Linked DNA regions of Canis lupus familiaris. The protein of the gene in region 2 binds, or shares a complex with, the protein of the main gene of each other region. Links are inferred from orthologs where the notes say so. Each region holds a gene or a part of one and is shown on either strand. Other genes may lie near its edges.

Region 1 (7,616 bases), on a different chromosome or scaffold from region 2:
TTGTTTAGGCCTCCCAATCTATAGTAGTTTTGTTACAGCAGCCCAAACTAAGAGCATATACAATATATTGAAGAATAAGGTCAAGGGGTGCCTGGGTGGCTCAACTGGTTAAGCGTTCAACTCTTCTGGCTCAGGTCATGATGGCAGAGTCGTGAGACCAGGCACTGCATTTGGGCCCTGCACCCAGCTCCACACTCAGCAGGGAGTCTACTTGAAATTCTCTCCTTTCTCTCCCTGTGCCCCTCCCACATGTATGCTTATGCGTGCTCTCTCTAAAATAAAGAAATCCTAAAAAAAAAAAAAAAAAAAAAAAAGAATAAGGGTCAAGAAAAATGTACTATTAACTGAAAAAGAAAATAATGTGGCGGATGCCTTGGTGGCTCAGCGGTTGAGCATCTGCCTTTGGCTCAGGGCCTGATCCCGGAGTCCCGGGATAGAGTCCCACATCAGGCTCCCTGCATGGAGCCTGCTTCTTCCTCTGCCTGTGTCTCTGCCTCTCTCTCTGTGTCTCTTATGAATAAATAAATATTTTTTAAAAAGAATATGTATTTTGTGTTTCATGTTTTTGATGCTGAACATTGCTAAAATACAAAAAAAAAAAAAAATCACCAAGAAAGGATGGCATGTTCAATTACCACATACGTGAATTTTCTTCTAGGACAAAATTCTTGAAGTTTCATACCAATACACACAAAAAGACTGAGAGGACTTGGATCACTCAGCTACATTCTAGCAGAGCTGTATTTGGCATTCTTAAAAGTAGAAGATACTACACAGATCAATAATTTAAGAAAGTAAAGATGTTTAGCCTTTATAGGGAAAACACAAAAAGATGTATTTTTGTGAGCGAATGATTAACTGCTTTTTATCTGAATATGGTGGAAACGAACAAAATCTCTAACACGTGAATCAGATTCAAGAACAACAGCTTATCGCCATATTTTCTCAGTGTCTTCTTACATTTTGGGAAACTAGATATGATCCAGGTTTATCTCAATTCATGGGATAATGAACAATGCCAACTGAGTTAAGGAAAGGATTATTTAATGGTGTGTTTAATAACCAGTCTCAAAGACCTATCAAATCTTATTTCTGGGGGCATCTTTTGATAACAAATCAAACTAAAAACACCACTCAATTTTATTTCTACAATGATAAAAATGCCTAAATCAAACAAAACCCAGCATTCTACATGCTCCTTAAATCCCACTTAAATTTCTTGAGGTAACATACCACACTAGACAGAATATAGGATCTGGATGTCAGGAAGATGGGACAAGCCATTTTAAGTACTCTGAGATTCACTATCTCATGTAAAGTGAGGTAATAACATGACTTCAGGGTTTGCTATGCGCATTAGACGAAAAACATTTAGGGGAGAAAAAAGAAGTGAGGCTTAATCAGTAACTATTTTAAAAAGGAGGTGAGTGGAGTTAAAACCACCTACCCTAAGCCAAAAAGTTTTATTATTCTGGCTTTTCTCCTGAAGTATGACCCCTGGCAAGCTTTTTGGCTTCCACTCCTTGTATGGCTAAAATGGGGGAAATAACCTGCTCCCTAATTCAGGATAGTATATAAGGATCAAATAGGTTAATATACATAAAAGCATTACAAAAACTACAAATAACACGACGGGGGTGGGGGGGAACCCAACTTCACTCTGGATAGGAAAGCCAAGCAGGCACCAACAAAAAAAAAAAAAAAAAAGGAAGAAAGAAGAAGAAAAAAGAAAAGAAGAAGAAGGAGGAGGAGGAGGAGGAGAAAGAGAAAGAGGAGGAGAAAGAGAAAGAGAAAGAGAAAGAGAAAGAGAGAAAAGAAAAGAAAAGAAAAGAAAAGAAAAGAAAAGAAAAGAAAAGAAAGAAAACAAAACAAGTTATCATTTCTCATTTCCTGGCATACAGAATTTGGTCTTTGCAGAACATACTTCCAACATTAATCACACCTCCTATTAAATTACTGTGTGACTATCTCCTCACTAAACTGGTAGTACTTCCTTAAAGACAAGAACATCAACTTTGGTTTTCCAATGGCTAACATCCTTCAGGCTTGGAAGACGCTTGGTCAGTGCTTGATGAAATCTAATATGCTGTATTTACCCTTCCTGTTATGTGAAAATACATTCAGAAGTAGAAGAATTACCATTTTCCTTCCGTAATCTTGTTATGAACTTCTTAGGAGGAATCACCCCAACCTTCTTCTTCTGAGTCGCTATACTATGGAAGAGGTCTGCTAGGCAGGTAAGAAGGTTCTCCTTCTTCCTAGGTTGGCTCTTGTACGCTAGAACTTTTTCCCGAAATGGACGACAAAAATAAAGTGCTTGAAGAACTGAATTACAGTAGCAGGTATTCCCAAACTAGAATAGAAAAAAAAAAAATCTTGTTAAACTTGGGGCAACACATTTTCAAGAGAAAGAATTTCCATGTGTATAGTTAAGAAAACAGAAGGAAGGCAGTGAACTTATGATCCTCATAAATTAAAAGTCATCTGAGAGTAGAAATAATTACTCCGACTGCAAATTTGCCATCTTAACATTAAATGGATGCTCTAGGCATTGGCTTCAGGTTAAAACTGAAGGAAAAAATATGTAATAAATTTGGTTGTTATGAAAACTGACTTAAACTATACAGTTTAAACAGTGAGAATAGTTAAGGCTTAGAATTCTGTATAATTTCTTCTTCAATTTCCATTTGCTGCATTTTGGACCCTAAACATTTCATATATTATACATTTTAAAATAGAACTCTCAAAAATTATTTAAAAACCCCCACAAAACTGAGGTATTCTATCAGATTAAGTGCCATTCAAATATAAAAACAAGGGACCCCTGGGTGACTCAGTCAGTTGAGGGTCTGCCTTCAGCTCAGGTCAAGATCCCAGGGTCCTGGGATGGAGCCCGAATGGGACTTTCCTGCTCAGCAGAATTTGCTCTTCCCTCTACCTCTGATCCTCTTCCCCTGCTCATGCTCTCGAGCTCTCTGTCGAATAAAAAACCTTTTATTAACAGTAACAAACACCAAAAATTAAAAAGTGAAGTAAAATGAGATCCTCTGAACTGTTAAAAATTTTCAATGTGCCAGCATGACCACCACTGAAATGCTGTGATGCCCAGTCACATCACTTGTGATCTATTACAAACAGACTTCAGGTGCATTCAATCCTCAACTACTAACCAACTTCCTACTGGCCATGTGATCTGGAGTGTGTAACTACAGCTTCCTGAACTTCAACTTCCTCCTCTTTAATAATGGGGAAAAATAATATCGCCTTATGAGAAAATGACACACATTTTGGCAACATTTATTGTCTTCCTTTTCCCTTCCCATTAATAGATACTGGCTCCCAAAGCCGGCTGATAAAACATCCAAGAGTTGATCGATGAAGACTTGGGGAGACTTTGAAAGTATAAAAAAAGGAAAGAGGGCAATTTTCACAGCACTACCTGCAATGATGTCACATACTACCTAAAAAGTTAGGCAGAAAAGACTGTTTTAAGAATGGGCAATATAGGGGCACCTGGGTGGCCCTGCTGGTTATGCGCCAGATTCTTAGTTTCTGCTTGGTGGTGATCTCATCGTCATCTTGGGCCATGGATCAAGCCCCAACTCAGGCTCTGCACTCAGCGCATAAGAGATTCTCTCTCTCTCCCTCTCCCTCTGTCTCTCCACTACCACCTTCCCACTCATACACACACTCTCTAAAAATGAATAAATAAATCTTTTTAAAAAGGGGCAATGTCAAACACATATCCACAGACATGTCCGTGTTTGCTTATATTTAAAAACTAATAAAAATGGTTATTTATGGAGAAAGTGGAGAGGAATCAAGGTACATTTTTAAAAGCATTTGCTTTGCACTGGTTTTTTTTTTTTTTTTTAAGTAAGTTAAATCGAAAAGATCTCAGAGGAAAAAAAGAAATTCCTAAAGCTGAAAGGAAACAGAGATCAGCGAAACCTAAATGTTTATCTAGTCCACTGGAGAATTACACAAAAAATTAGTTTGAGCAACTTTAAAACACAGAATTTTTACTATACATGCCTACTGAAACAGTCTGAGAATAAAAAAAGAAATCTTAAATGCATTCAGTAATCACATTGTTAGAACTAATTAATTGACACTGTTATTTTGAAATTACTATATATTTTTGTAGGACAAAGCAAGCAAAGAATTACGTTAATATCCTTAGGAACCCAAACTGTTAATGCAAAAGAAAAAAGACACAATAATTAAGGTAAGAGTAAAAGCCCTATAAACTTAAATTGGAATCTGAAGTATCAGTATAAGCTCATGTCTTTTTATAAGTGTGTGTGTGTTTTCAACTTCTATCCACCAAAAAGACCTAGCAAGCAGCCCCAAATTTCCTGGCACACTGACTGTAATCTCAAAAAACCATTTTCCCACAAAAAGGAACTAGGATGCCTTGCAGATATGGCTACACTAGGTCTGGGACAGGAAATATACAAATGCAGATTAGCCGAAAATACCTCTTTATGTGGATTCAAGAGCCAACTTTCATCAAAAAGAAATACTGTGATTGATAAAAAGCACATCAACTACATAAAAATTTATGAATAATGACTTTTTAAAAACCCTTCATTAGTCTTCACGGAAATTATAAACTAATATATAAAGGGAAAGCGTCAAAGTTTTGTCTTCCTTTTTTTTTTGGAGAGCGAGAGAGAGCATGAGCATGGGGTGGGATGGGATGGGTAGGGGCAGAGTGAGAGAATCCCAAGCAGGCCCATATCCAGCGTGGAGCCAGACTTGGGGCTTAATCCCATGATCCTGAAACCATGATCTGAGCCAAAATCAAGAGTCGAATGCTTAACCAACTGAGCTACCCACACGTCCCTTATCTTGTCTTTCTTATAAGAATAGTATTTCAGAGGGAACTAAATAGTTGATGAAGAAGTACTAGCTTATAGCATAATTCCAGCTAATAAATTCAGAAGAAATGACTGTAAACAATGGATTAGGCAATAATTAATTATCAATGAACACCAAAGCATTAAAGCCTGATCGGGAACTTTTAAAATGACCTGAACACCAGGTGCATTCCAACATCATTAAAAATAAACCACCACACTGTATGTCTCTTGTAGAAATATGTAGCAATTCTTATGAAGTATTCTTGTTTTAAAAAACAAAACTACTAAATTTTAATCAAGTGTCTGGACATACCTACCAATTTACAAGATATTCAAGGAAAGAGAAATGAGTTAAACAATACTATAAAAAGGAATAGAACATGAGGCCCAGCGAGGATACCTGATTTTTACATTCATATTGCTGGCCAGAGCCAAGAAGTGGTTCATAAAAACAGATGCTTTAAAGACTTTCCAGAGAAATGCTAAAAAAAAAAAGCAGATGATAAGCAGATGATCCACTGATACTATAGATAAATATAACTATGGATACTTTAATAAAGCCTATCCAGGGGCTAAGGTACACCTGCAGTAGAACCTACAATATTACAAAAATTAATCTATCAATTACTCAATATTAGTCTAAAAAATACTAGTATTTGTATCACAGTCTAATGACACTAATGACTGACTATGCCTCTGTCAATTAAAGAGAAGACTCAATCTCCATAATTTGGACATTTTTTTTTGGAGAATAAGCAATAGGGACTCTAATGACTTACACAGAGTAGGTAAAAACTAAAGATAGCATCTCACAGGACATTAGAAAAATTTATAATAAAGCTTGACCAACTTATAAAAAAAGAAACAAGTGGGATAAGCTAAGGAAACAGGGAGTCTATTACATTGTACAGAATGCTGGAAGGTAGCCTCTCGCTCATCTTCTGAATATAAAACAACAGGTAAAATTGTAATTAATTCTTTGAGGTCTTCTCTGATCCTGCACTTATCTTCATCAATCCCATTAAAGAAAAATTAAAGATTGAAACTACTACAACTTCTCCAGAATAAGCAATCACTTTCAATCTTATTCATAACTCTGAAACTTTTCTCTTCAGCTTCTCTGATAGTAATTTACTTTCAAATTCCTAAAACCTAAAAATATATCTTTCTTGTGTGTCGCTTTCATGCAAAAGATTATCTGGAATGATTTCCCCCACATTCTTGTTTACAAATGTTCAATTTCTAAAAAAGACATTGCTTTAGGGTTGAAGTCTACCCTGTATCTTCTCAGCTTTTCTGAAGATCAAAGGTATAACCAGGTTTAAAATCAGGAGAAATAAATTTTAAAAAGCTGCTACCCTCAAGGTCTGACCATTGATTTTTCAGTTGCCTATTGAACACAATGACCTGTGCTGCTTTCTGTAACACCATTTTTTCCTAGTTTTAAAATAAATGCCTCCTCCACAAATATTTATTATATCCTCATCACTAAGATCATTTTTGAGCACACATCCCTAATGTGCTACATTACATAAAGTATACTTTTATAAAATGTAAAATTTATATACATAAAAATATACACTAGATCCAGTTAGCCTTTAAACAATGTGGGAGTTGGGGGAGCTGACTCCTCACAAAGTCAAAAGTCAGCATGTAACTTTCAATTTCCCAAAAACTTTACTAAGACTACTGTTGACCAGAAGCCTTATTAATAACAATCAACTCATATTTTGTATCTTATATGTATTATATACTGTATTCTTATAATAAAGTAGGCTAAAGAAAATGCTATTAAATCATGAGAAAAAATATATATAATACTATACTGTATTTATAACCCTACCCAAAATGCATATAGATAGACCTGGGCAGCTCAAACCCATGTTGTTCAACAGTCAACTGTAAAACAAATGTCATGAAGACAAAGTAAATACTTAAAATTTTTATCTTACTTAGATTGATTTTATTTTTACTAAAAATTATTCATATTTGAGAGCAATGAAGATGAGTAGGCCTTCTGGTAAACTGGGGTTATAGATTTTTAATACTCGGATTGATAGTCTGAGAAGCAACTAGAGTACCAGAGAAACTAAGTGCACAGGCTCTGAAACCGACTGTCTAGGTTCAAGTCTGGTTCCGTATCCGGGCTTGAGAAATTACTAAACCACTCTGTTCATTCATCTGCTTCCTCATCTGTAAATGGGGTTTATAATACAGTGCCCACCTTCTAAAATTTTGTAAAGAATTAAATAATCCATATGAAGCACTAACAACAGTTCCCAGGACTTTATCACTGCATTATTATTTTTGAAACCATCTTTTTAAGTCATCTGTCCATTTAGAAAAGTTAGATGAACTGAAATTAAATCATATAATTTATAAATCTACATTGAAATGATAATAGTTTGCAACCGCATAAATGAGTAAGAGCTGGTTATACTGTCAACTCTGGTGCTACAGAACTTGAAGTACCATAAGACCACTTCACACAGAGTATGGATACCAGTATCACACATTTATTAAGAATTAGGAAGGCTGGGGCATCTGGATGGCTCAGTGGGTTGAGCGTCTGACTCTTGATTTTGACTCTGATCATAATCTCCGGATGGAGATCCCAGGGGATGGATAGGGCCGTACACTCAGCAGGGAGTCTGCTTGAGATTCCCTCCGTCTCCCTCTGTCCCCCCAACCCACTGCTCGTGCTTTCTCTCTATAAAATGAGTAAATAAATCTTTTTAAAAAAGAATTTCT
Region 2 (7,616 bases):
CTACCAGTGTTCATGCCTCTCTCCAATTCAATCTCCGAGCAGTAGCCAGGGAATTTTCAAAAACACCAGCCTGACCTTGTGCTCCTGCTTCCTTCTGTGGGAATCGCACGCCTCAGCCAAGAGGCAACAGCTGGGCGCCACCCTAAGTGGCACCACACTCCGGTCTCACAGCCTCCTGGTACACCACCCTCCCCGGGTCCATGGCCCCCTCTCCATTCTCCTGGTCTCAGCTTCTTTCCTACTCAAGGCCTTTACCTGCTCTCCCTTCTGGGAAACTCTCCATCTCAAGCTGTTCCATGGCTGGCCGCCTCCTCAGGGGAGGTTCCAGCTAGAGCACAGCAACTACTTCATGAAATGTCCTCCACCACCCCTGTGCCTCTCCCTGCCCGCCCCCCCGCCCCCGCCCCGGCCTCTGCCTCCTCAACTGGCACATGTCACCATTTGCCCCAAGCGTGTGTGAGGGGTGCTACTGTTTACATATCTACCCCTCTCTCAGCAGGTATCTACAGGGCAGGCTCGAGTAGGCACACAGAAGGTAACCAAGGTCTGTTGCCTGGATGAGACATGGTCGCTGCTCTCGTTCAAGCCCTCAGCCCTCACACAAACAGGCACCAGCCTCCTCACTTGTCACCCTGCTACTCTCTCTCCATTCTGACCCACCCTCCACAAGCACTGACAAGCACTCTAAAGGACACACTTGACACGGTCACTCTCTTGATCAGAAGCCCAAAACTACCTTTACAGCCTCCAGCGTCAGATCCAAGCCTCTCAGCATGTCAGGGCATTTACAGTCTGGTTCCGACGGCGCACCCGCTGGCTCCGCCTCCCACCTCTCTGAGGCCTACCTGCTGCCATGATCATGCCTGGCCACCCAACACTCCTCTGCATACCAAGCAGTTTGCTTCAGCTCTGAGAGCCTCTCTCACCCTTCCCCAATTCCTGTGCATCTTTCAAGACCCAGATTAAGTGTCACCTTCTGGAAATCTCAGACTTCCTCCATCAAACTTAACTTCTGCTTTATGGTATTTGATACACACTGAAGAATACAGTTAACACATATCCTCTGGCACTTTGCTCCTGACACCCTGATAACATGCCCCAGTACCCTATCCATCTGCCTTACTAAACTGTGAGCTCCTAGGAACACAGAGGCCCAGCCATCTGGCGACCACATGTGGTGGGGCTTACAGTCTGTGAAAGTAATTTCAGTTCCACCTCTGTAGTCAACGTACTACCTGCCTGGACAATTCACTTACCTTCTCTTTGACTATTTCCTCATCTGTGAGATGCTAACAGCTACTCACCCAACCATGAAGAGGACAAATATTAAACACTCTGAAACCGCTAACTCTCATACCAATGCAAAGCATGGCGTGATGATGGCTTTCACCACCATTCCTGGCACTCTTGGAGAAACAAACCTCTAATGACCCTTGCTCTTACACATCCTGACCAAAATCTGATGAAAATCGTATCCACACAGCCAAAGAATTTCCTTACTGTGAAAGCCTCATGCTATAAGTGCCAAGCTGGAATTTAACCATACACAGCCCTAGTATGGTGAACAGACATTTTTCAAATAAAATATAAGACAAGTATGAAACCGCTCATGCTTGAATCACCAAGTGAGGAGCTGCTTCCTAGCCTGCAATCCCTACTGCTGTCCAGAGCAAGAGACAGATCTGGCTGATGCATCTGAGCACTCTCAGAGCCCCAAGACTCCTGCCTCCCCCATGATGACACACAAGCCCCTCTTGTTCTCAAAGTGGCATTCTGTGCCATCCTCAGCGGGAGGAGCCTCCTGATCTCATTTGCCAATAGCCCTTCCTCCTCAACAACATGCCCCCTACCTGAATACAAACAAAATCCCACAATGACTCCAAATTCAGTTTCTGGTGACAATGCAAAGAGTGGTTGCTCCCCCACAACCACCACCAGGAGGGGAGAAAAAAATCATTCAGCTACCAGGAAATCACTTCCTCAGATGTTATTAATAAAACATTTAGGTAAATAAAAGTTTTCTGCTTCAGACTTATTTTTAACAGAAAATGGGATAAATACTTCTCTTCTAGAGTTTTGTCAATCCACATGGCAAGTTCTGTTTCCTGTCAACCCAGTTGAAACTAGAAAAGGAGATGGCCTGGTTCAAGAGATCTCACCAAATCCATTGGCAATGCCAAACAGAAGCATTGTGGATGGGGACCAGCTGTGTGTGGACAGTGTGGGCCAGGACACTGCAAAAGAATCCACATTTTAACTGCAATCTGTCAACTTGAATATTATTGCCCCCCCACCAAATTATTTCTTATAAACCAGAACCTATAATGCACTTCTATTTCAAGCTTATAACATCAAAACCAGGAAACAGCAAAAAACCATGTGTCCTTCCTAAGAGAGGGGTCCTATGTAACCTGACTCTTGTCACATCAGGGTCGAGGTCACAAGTCAACCCTGGGGCCCTGGGCTTCTAGACTGGCAAGCCCCTTACAACTTTTCCATTTGCTGAGAAAGTCACACTGAAACAGAGAAGTGAGAACACTGAATCTACAAATGGCAATTCTGCGGCCGAAAAGCACCCCCGACAGCTTTACCATACACCATCTATGTGGCAACTGTTACGTGCCACATCTAACAGTTCTGACCTGTTCCTGAACACACAGCTCACATAGCTCAGGCTCCTTCCAGAACAAAACTGGAGACGCTAGAAATCAAACACATGCTATAAGACTAGCAAAAGCTACGTCCTGTGATCCATCTTTAAATGCCAGCATTTCAAATATGTCAAAGGTGATGTTACAGCAAATATCTCTAAGAGAAAGAAAGCTACTCTTTAGCCAAACACCTGTCAAATGGAGACACAAAAGACTGAGCTACAATTTAAGTGGCCTAAGGAAATATTATCAAGTTCTTCAATCTGCATGAAATTTTCTGGTGATGTGAACAAGGTCCAGAATTCTGTATTTTCTTATTTAAGCTATAAATATCAAGTGACAGTTTTGTCCCTGTCTCCATTATAAAAGAGTTTTAAAGCACCTGCTAAAGGCAGCTGAGCACGCTCCATAAAAATTGCACAAAACAGTTCCCCCAAGGAAGAATAGATATGTCAACAAGTTAATCACCACATTTAAACGGGTAATACTAGGTAGGACAGTGAAAGAATGAAAAATGGGCTTTAGCTCGGCGTGTAAAATAAGGCCCACTGCCCTTGGTAAGAACGTATAAATTCTTAAAGGGATTCTTAACAGCTAAGACAGGGTGCTACTTACTTCCTCATTAAATAGTTTGCTAGTTTCTTTTTTGATTGGATCTATAAGCTGGACTTGGCCTGCGGAAAAGCCCACTAGGAGAGAGACACTTTCTGCTGTGGCTGTTAGGTGGTTGAAGTCATGACAAGTAGGCTGTGTTCCTTTGTATATCCTTTTATCTATTGGTTTACTCAAGTCAGCAGCCTGGAGGAGAAAGAGAAAAATACATACGGTAAACAGCACATTGAGATGAGAAATCTAATAGTTACACTATTTTATACTCCATTACGATGTTCAATCTTAAAAACAAAGGTATTTAAATTTTTGTTTCAGTTTTCAGCATTTTGTAAAAGCACTTTCACATACATAAGCCAATTTGATATTGTCAAACTATTCATAATATAACTGTTACCTCCATGACTTATTCTTCAAATATCTTTAACATAAGCTCCTGGACTTCAGGAGGAAAACTTGAGATAACTAATTCAGTATTTGCAAAATGCATTCATTCCAAGCAATTTCTAACAGAGTACCTCTAACCACATAAAAACTCAGCTTGCAAATGTATCTACGGCATCTAAATGCTCACTGGTGAGTTACCTGTAGCCCAGGGGTTCTCAAAGTGTGGTCCCGAGACCATTGGTGGCAGCAGCAGCATCACCTGGAAACTCAGAAATGCAAACTCTCAAGCCCCACCCCACATCAAATGAATCTGAAACTACAGGGGTGGGCCTAGCAAGCCTTCCAGGTGATTCCGATGCTCACTCCAGATTTGAGAACCACTGCTGCAGCCAATTATAAGCAGGTGCCTTCTTAGTGGGTCCCGGTCCCTCTTCTGCATTAGCTTTCAGGTACCTTCACTTACTGAGGCCACACTCCAAAGTGCGTGACACGCATCATCTTTAAACCTTACAATGATCCCTCAAAGTAGAGAACGTTCCCCCATTTTGCAGATGAGAAAACAAGCTTAGGGAGGTTAAATAACTCGGCCACCATACCTACCTAAGTAAATAAGCAACTGGATGTGGAACCCAGGTCTGTTTGACCATAAAAGGGATGGGGAGAACACACACCCCAAAGTCAGAAGCAAATATTTCTGACTTGGGCCAAAAGTGATTTTTCAATCTGCCTCCCCCTAAATCCCTAAAGCAGGACTTTTTTCTTCATGAGAAATGTTCTGTGCAATCTAATGTGCTGGATTCACGTGGAAATTAAGGACACCACCCTCCAGTCTTAGTGGGAAGTCACAGGTGCAGACAACCAGGCTGCTGAGCCCATCCTCTGACACAACCACTGGGGCCACGGCTCTCGTTATCTGCTGACCAAACCCTGAGTTAGGTTCTGAAAATGTCTTTCCCCCAAAGAGGCCTGTGACATTGTGCCGAGGATTCTGTTTCATTTTCCAAATAACAAACACAAATACTGAGTAGAAAAGAGGAACTCAAAAATCACAGGCATCTTTGAGCAAACTCCAAACCCGAGCATTTGAAGTGTGGACCCGAGTGGAACAGGATCTCTGAGAGCCCAGGGCTGAGGAATGAAGATACATGCCATGCGGACACTCTCCCAGCCTCACCTCGGTTAAAACGGAGATGAGAATCTCTGTTCTACCAACCTCATGGGATTGTCTGGAGGATGAAATAAGAGAATATATACGTGAAAGAGGCTTGAAAAGTGTAATATAAAGCACGATACAAAACACAGGGAAGTCCTGACTTTGCAGCAAGGCGAAATGGGGCCAGTTCAGAAGGGAGTAAGTGCTGAGGCAGGCTGAAGGCTGTGCCCTGAGGAGGTATGAGGGAGCTTCAGGGGCCAGAGAAAGCCACCTCTGCCCCCTCCCGTTCCCCCACAGGGACAGGCCAGGGACAGGCCACCTGAGGGAAGCTGCTCCCAGGATGGGTCCTGAAAGCAGGGAAAAAGCAGCTAGACTAAGGGACCTTTAGCAAATAATTTCAGAGCAGAGAAGGTATTGGTAAATGTCAAAAGAGCCCAAGCTAGAAAAAGACATTGGCAGCTAGAGACAAAAACCAAATCTAAAATACATACAATTATTACATGATCTCTACACCAGCATATATCTGAGAATTTTTTTTAAAGTTTGCTTAGGGAATTTCCCCCTTAAAGAACATATCTAAAATTATGCACAAAACTATAAAAATCAATTCAAAGGCAAGACAAAAATTAGCAGAGAAAACAATATAAATTAAATGAGCAAAAGAACATCCAATGGTTTTCAGAAACAACAGAGGAAGTAAGCACATCCATTTTCCTGAATATTGTTACTAGGGTAGAGTTAAACTTACAGACCCCTCCCAGTAACTACATTAGCTCACTTCTTGGTATATTTACTATATATCCTGCCTAATAAGGAACTTTATTGAAAAGATGTCATCTGTAATTAGATTACATGTATTTTAAATGCCAATAGAAAGACTACTTTTACTCTTAAATCATGTAAATAGTCCCAAAACATCCTGCTTACTAATCTGCTTAACAACTTTCTTCCCAGACCAGGGCTCTCACAGTGTACCAGTCTGCGCCAGTCTACAGGCAAGATTAAGTACAGAGATGAGAATAAGCATTTAGAAACTTTTATGGCAATCGGACAGAGTAACTTTCTATTGACTCAATAATAAAAATTAGAATTTGTATTGTGCACCTCTATCATTTTGTTTCCCAGTATCTTTTTTTTAAAATTTTAATAAAGTAGCAGTCTAGACAGATGGAAAATTTTAACAATTGGTCCTTCAACACTGGTGAGAAGCACTGCCCTAGGAGGCACAAAAGTAAACCGAGGCCCAAGAAACACTCAGAATCTCTCTCATCTGGGGTGACTCCCTGTCCCCAACCCCCAACGGCACCAGCCTTACTAGAACAGCAAGCAACATGGCCCTTACAGCAAGCACAAACTACTATGAAGCCCTATGTGACTGCTAGGTATATGCCTGTAAGAAATTCGACTTCTGAGAAACCCATGGACTCCACCACAGGTCACTGAGCTATATGGAGCCCAACACCAGAGGGAGAAAGTCTGGTTACCAGTACCTGCCTTCATCTCGAGCAATGCCGTCATCTCTGACCCATTTTGTCCTCTTTCTTCTGCAACCAATCACCAAGTTCGATCTCTTTTCCTTTTTTTTTTAAAGATTTTATTTTATTTATTTTATTTATTCATAGAGACAGAGAGAGGCAGAGACACAGGCAGAGGGAGACGCAGGCACCACACAGAGAGCCTGACGTGGGACTCGATCCCAGGTCTCCAGGATCACGCCCTGGGCTGCAGGCGGCGCTAAACCGCTGCGCCACCGGGGCTGCCCCTCGATCTCTTTTCCTATTAATGTGTTGGTGTCCTATTTCTTCTTCCTCCTCTTCCTCTCTTCTTTGGGGGTGGAGGGGTGCCAACACAGACACTGAATTCACACACATTTTAGTAGCAGTAATAACCACCTGAACAGCCATGCCTCTTCTGCATGGTGTTGCTAGATGGCTTCCCAGGGAAAGGAAGTCAGGAGAAAGAACCCAGACTTTGGAGCCAGGCAGGCCTAGGTTCAAAGCCTGCCTTCCCTCTGGGAAGACGGGTGGCCTCAGGCAAAGTGCTCCACAGCAAGTGAGTGGTGAGGCCCACCAGGAATGGATCTATGAAGCACAGGGCGTGCAGATTCACCTGACTGGCAGCTACCATTGTTAATCTGTCCCTGTCATAGCTTCCTAATTTCCCTTACATTGGAGTGACACCGACTTCCACCTGTGGAGTGAAACATTTGCTGGGCACCAGTGGCTTCACATTCACATCTCTCACATCACAGTCCGCCCCCAAAATACCCTGCCTTGGGGACACTGATACCACTGGCCTGCCATCCTCTGGGGAGGGACAGGGAAGGGACTCAGTCCTTCAGGGCCCAGCCACCAGCCCTGGGCAGGCCCTCTGCGGGAGGGTGGCCCTACTGCTGGGGGGTGGGGTGGGGATTTTATCCAGTGGTTCAAGCCCCACCTCCAAAAAGCTTTTCCCAACCCCCGTTCTTTGGGTTGGCTCCTTTATCTCAATTCTCAAGTCCTTAATTTGTTCCACAAAATTTAGTATCTAATCGCTTATATGATTATAGTATTATGTCTATTATCAATTACAATAAAATTATAATTACTATAAAAAATTACAATAAAACTCCTTTAAGGAGCAGAACTTCTTTATTAAGTAATAACCACTGTATTATTCCACAAAATCAGCCTTTATGTTTCAGCTTTCTGGTGAATTCTGCATAGATGAGTTAGATCACTTGGAATTTTTTTTTAATGCATCTGCATCCTAATTATTGTTAATTACCTGAATTCTTAAACACGAATTTATAGTGGAATGTATTTTTAAAAAATCTT

Evidence for each region. The genes of interacting proteins can lie anywhere in the genome.
Region 1: the proteins of WDR20 (region 2) and USP12 are in contact, whole or in part, in a crystal structure (PDB 5K1C), measured with the Homo sapiens proteins. The link is inferred for Canis lupus familiaris from reciprocal best matches to the Homo sapiens genes WDR20 and USP12. Residues at the interface, in NP_653175.2 of Homo sapiens: Asn41, Ser42, Gly44, Ser45, Arg151, Ser170, Lys259, Ser260, Tyr261, Phe262, Gly263, Glu282, Asp283, Asp284, Leu285, His301, Lys304, Ser305, Trp306, Gln374, Asp375, Thr376, Arg516, Met517, His533, Glu534, Arg535; in NP_872294.2 of Homo sapiens: Glu207, Asn209, Thr210, Ser211, Thr213, His214, Arg217, Arg277, Val279, Phe280, Pro281, Leu282, Glu283, Leu284, Arg285, Phe287, Asp297, Met299, Gln342, Glu345, Tyr348, Thr351, Ser352.

What each region holds. Positions count from the first base shown.
Region 1 is NC_049246.1:12,503,531-12,511,146, reverse strand, and holds part of USP12 (ubiquitin carboxyl-terminal hydrolase 12), read right to left. Parts: intron 2,354-7,616; coding exon 2,140-2,353; intron 1-2,139. UniProt on the Homo sapiens protein: Deubiquitinating enzyme that plays various roles in the regulation of the immune response and inflammation.
Region 2 is NC_049229.1:70,590,482-70,598,097, reverse strand, and holds part of WDR20 (WD repeat-containing protein 20), read right to left. Parts: intron 4,874-7,616; coding exon of another isoform or gene 4,822-4,873; intron 3,450-4,821; coding exon 3,267-3,449; intron 1-3,266. UniProt on the Homo sapiens protein: Regulator of deubiquitinating complexes. Activates deubiquitinating activity of complexes containing USP12. Anchors at the base of the ubiquitin-contacting loop of USP12 and remotely modulates the catalytic center of the enzyme.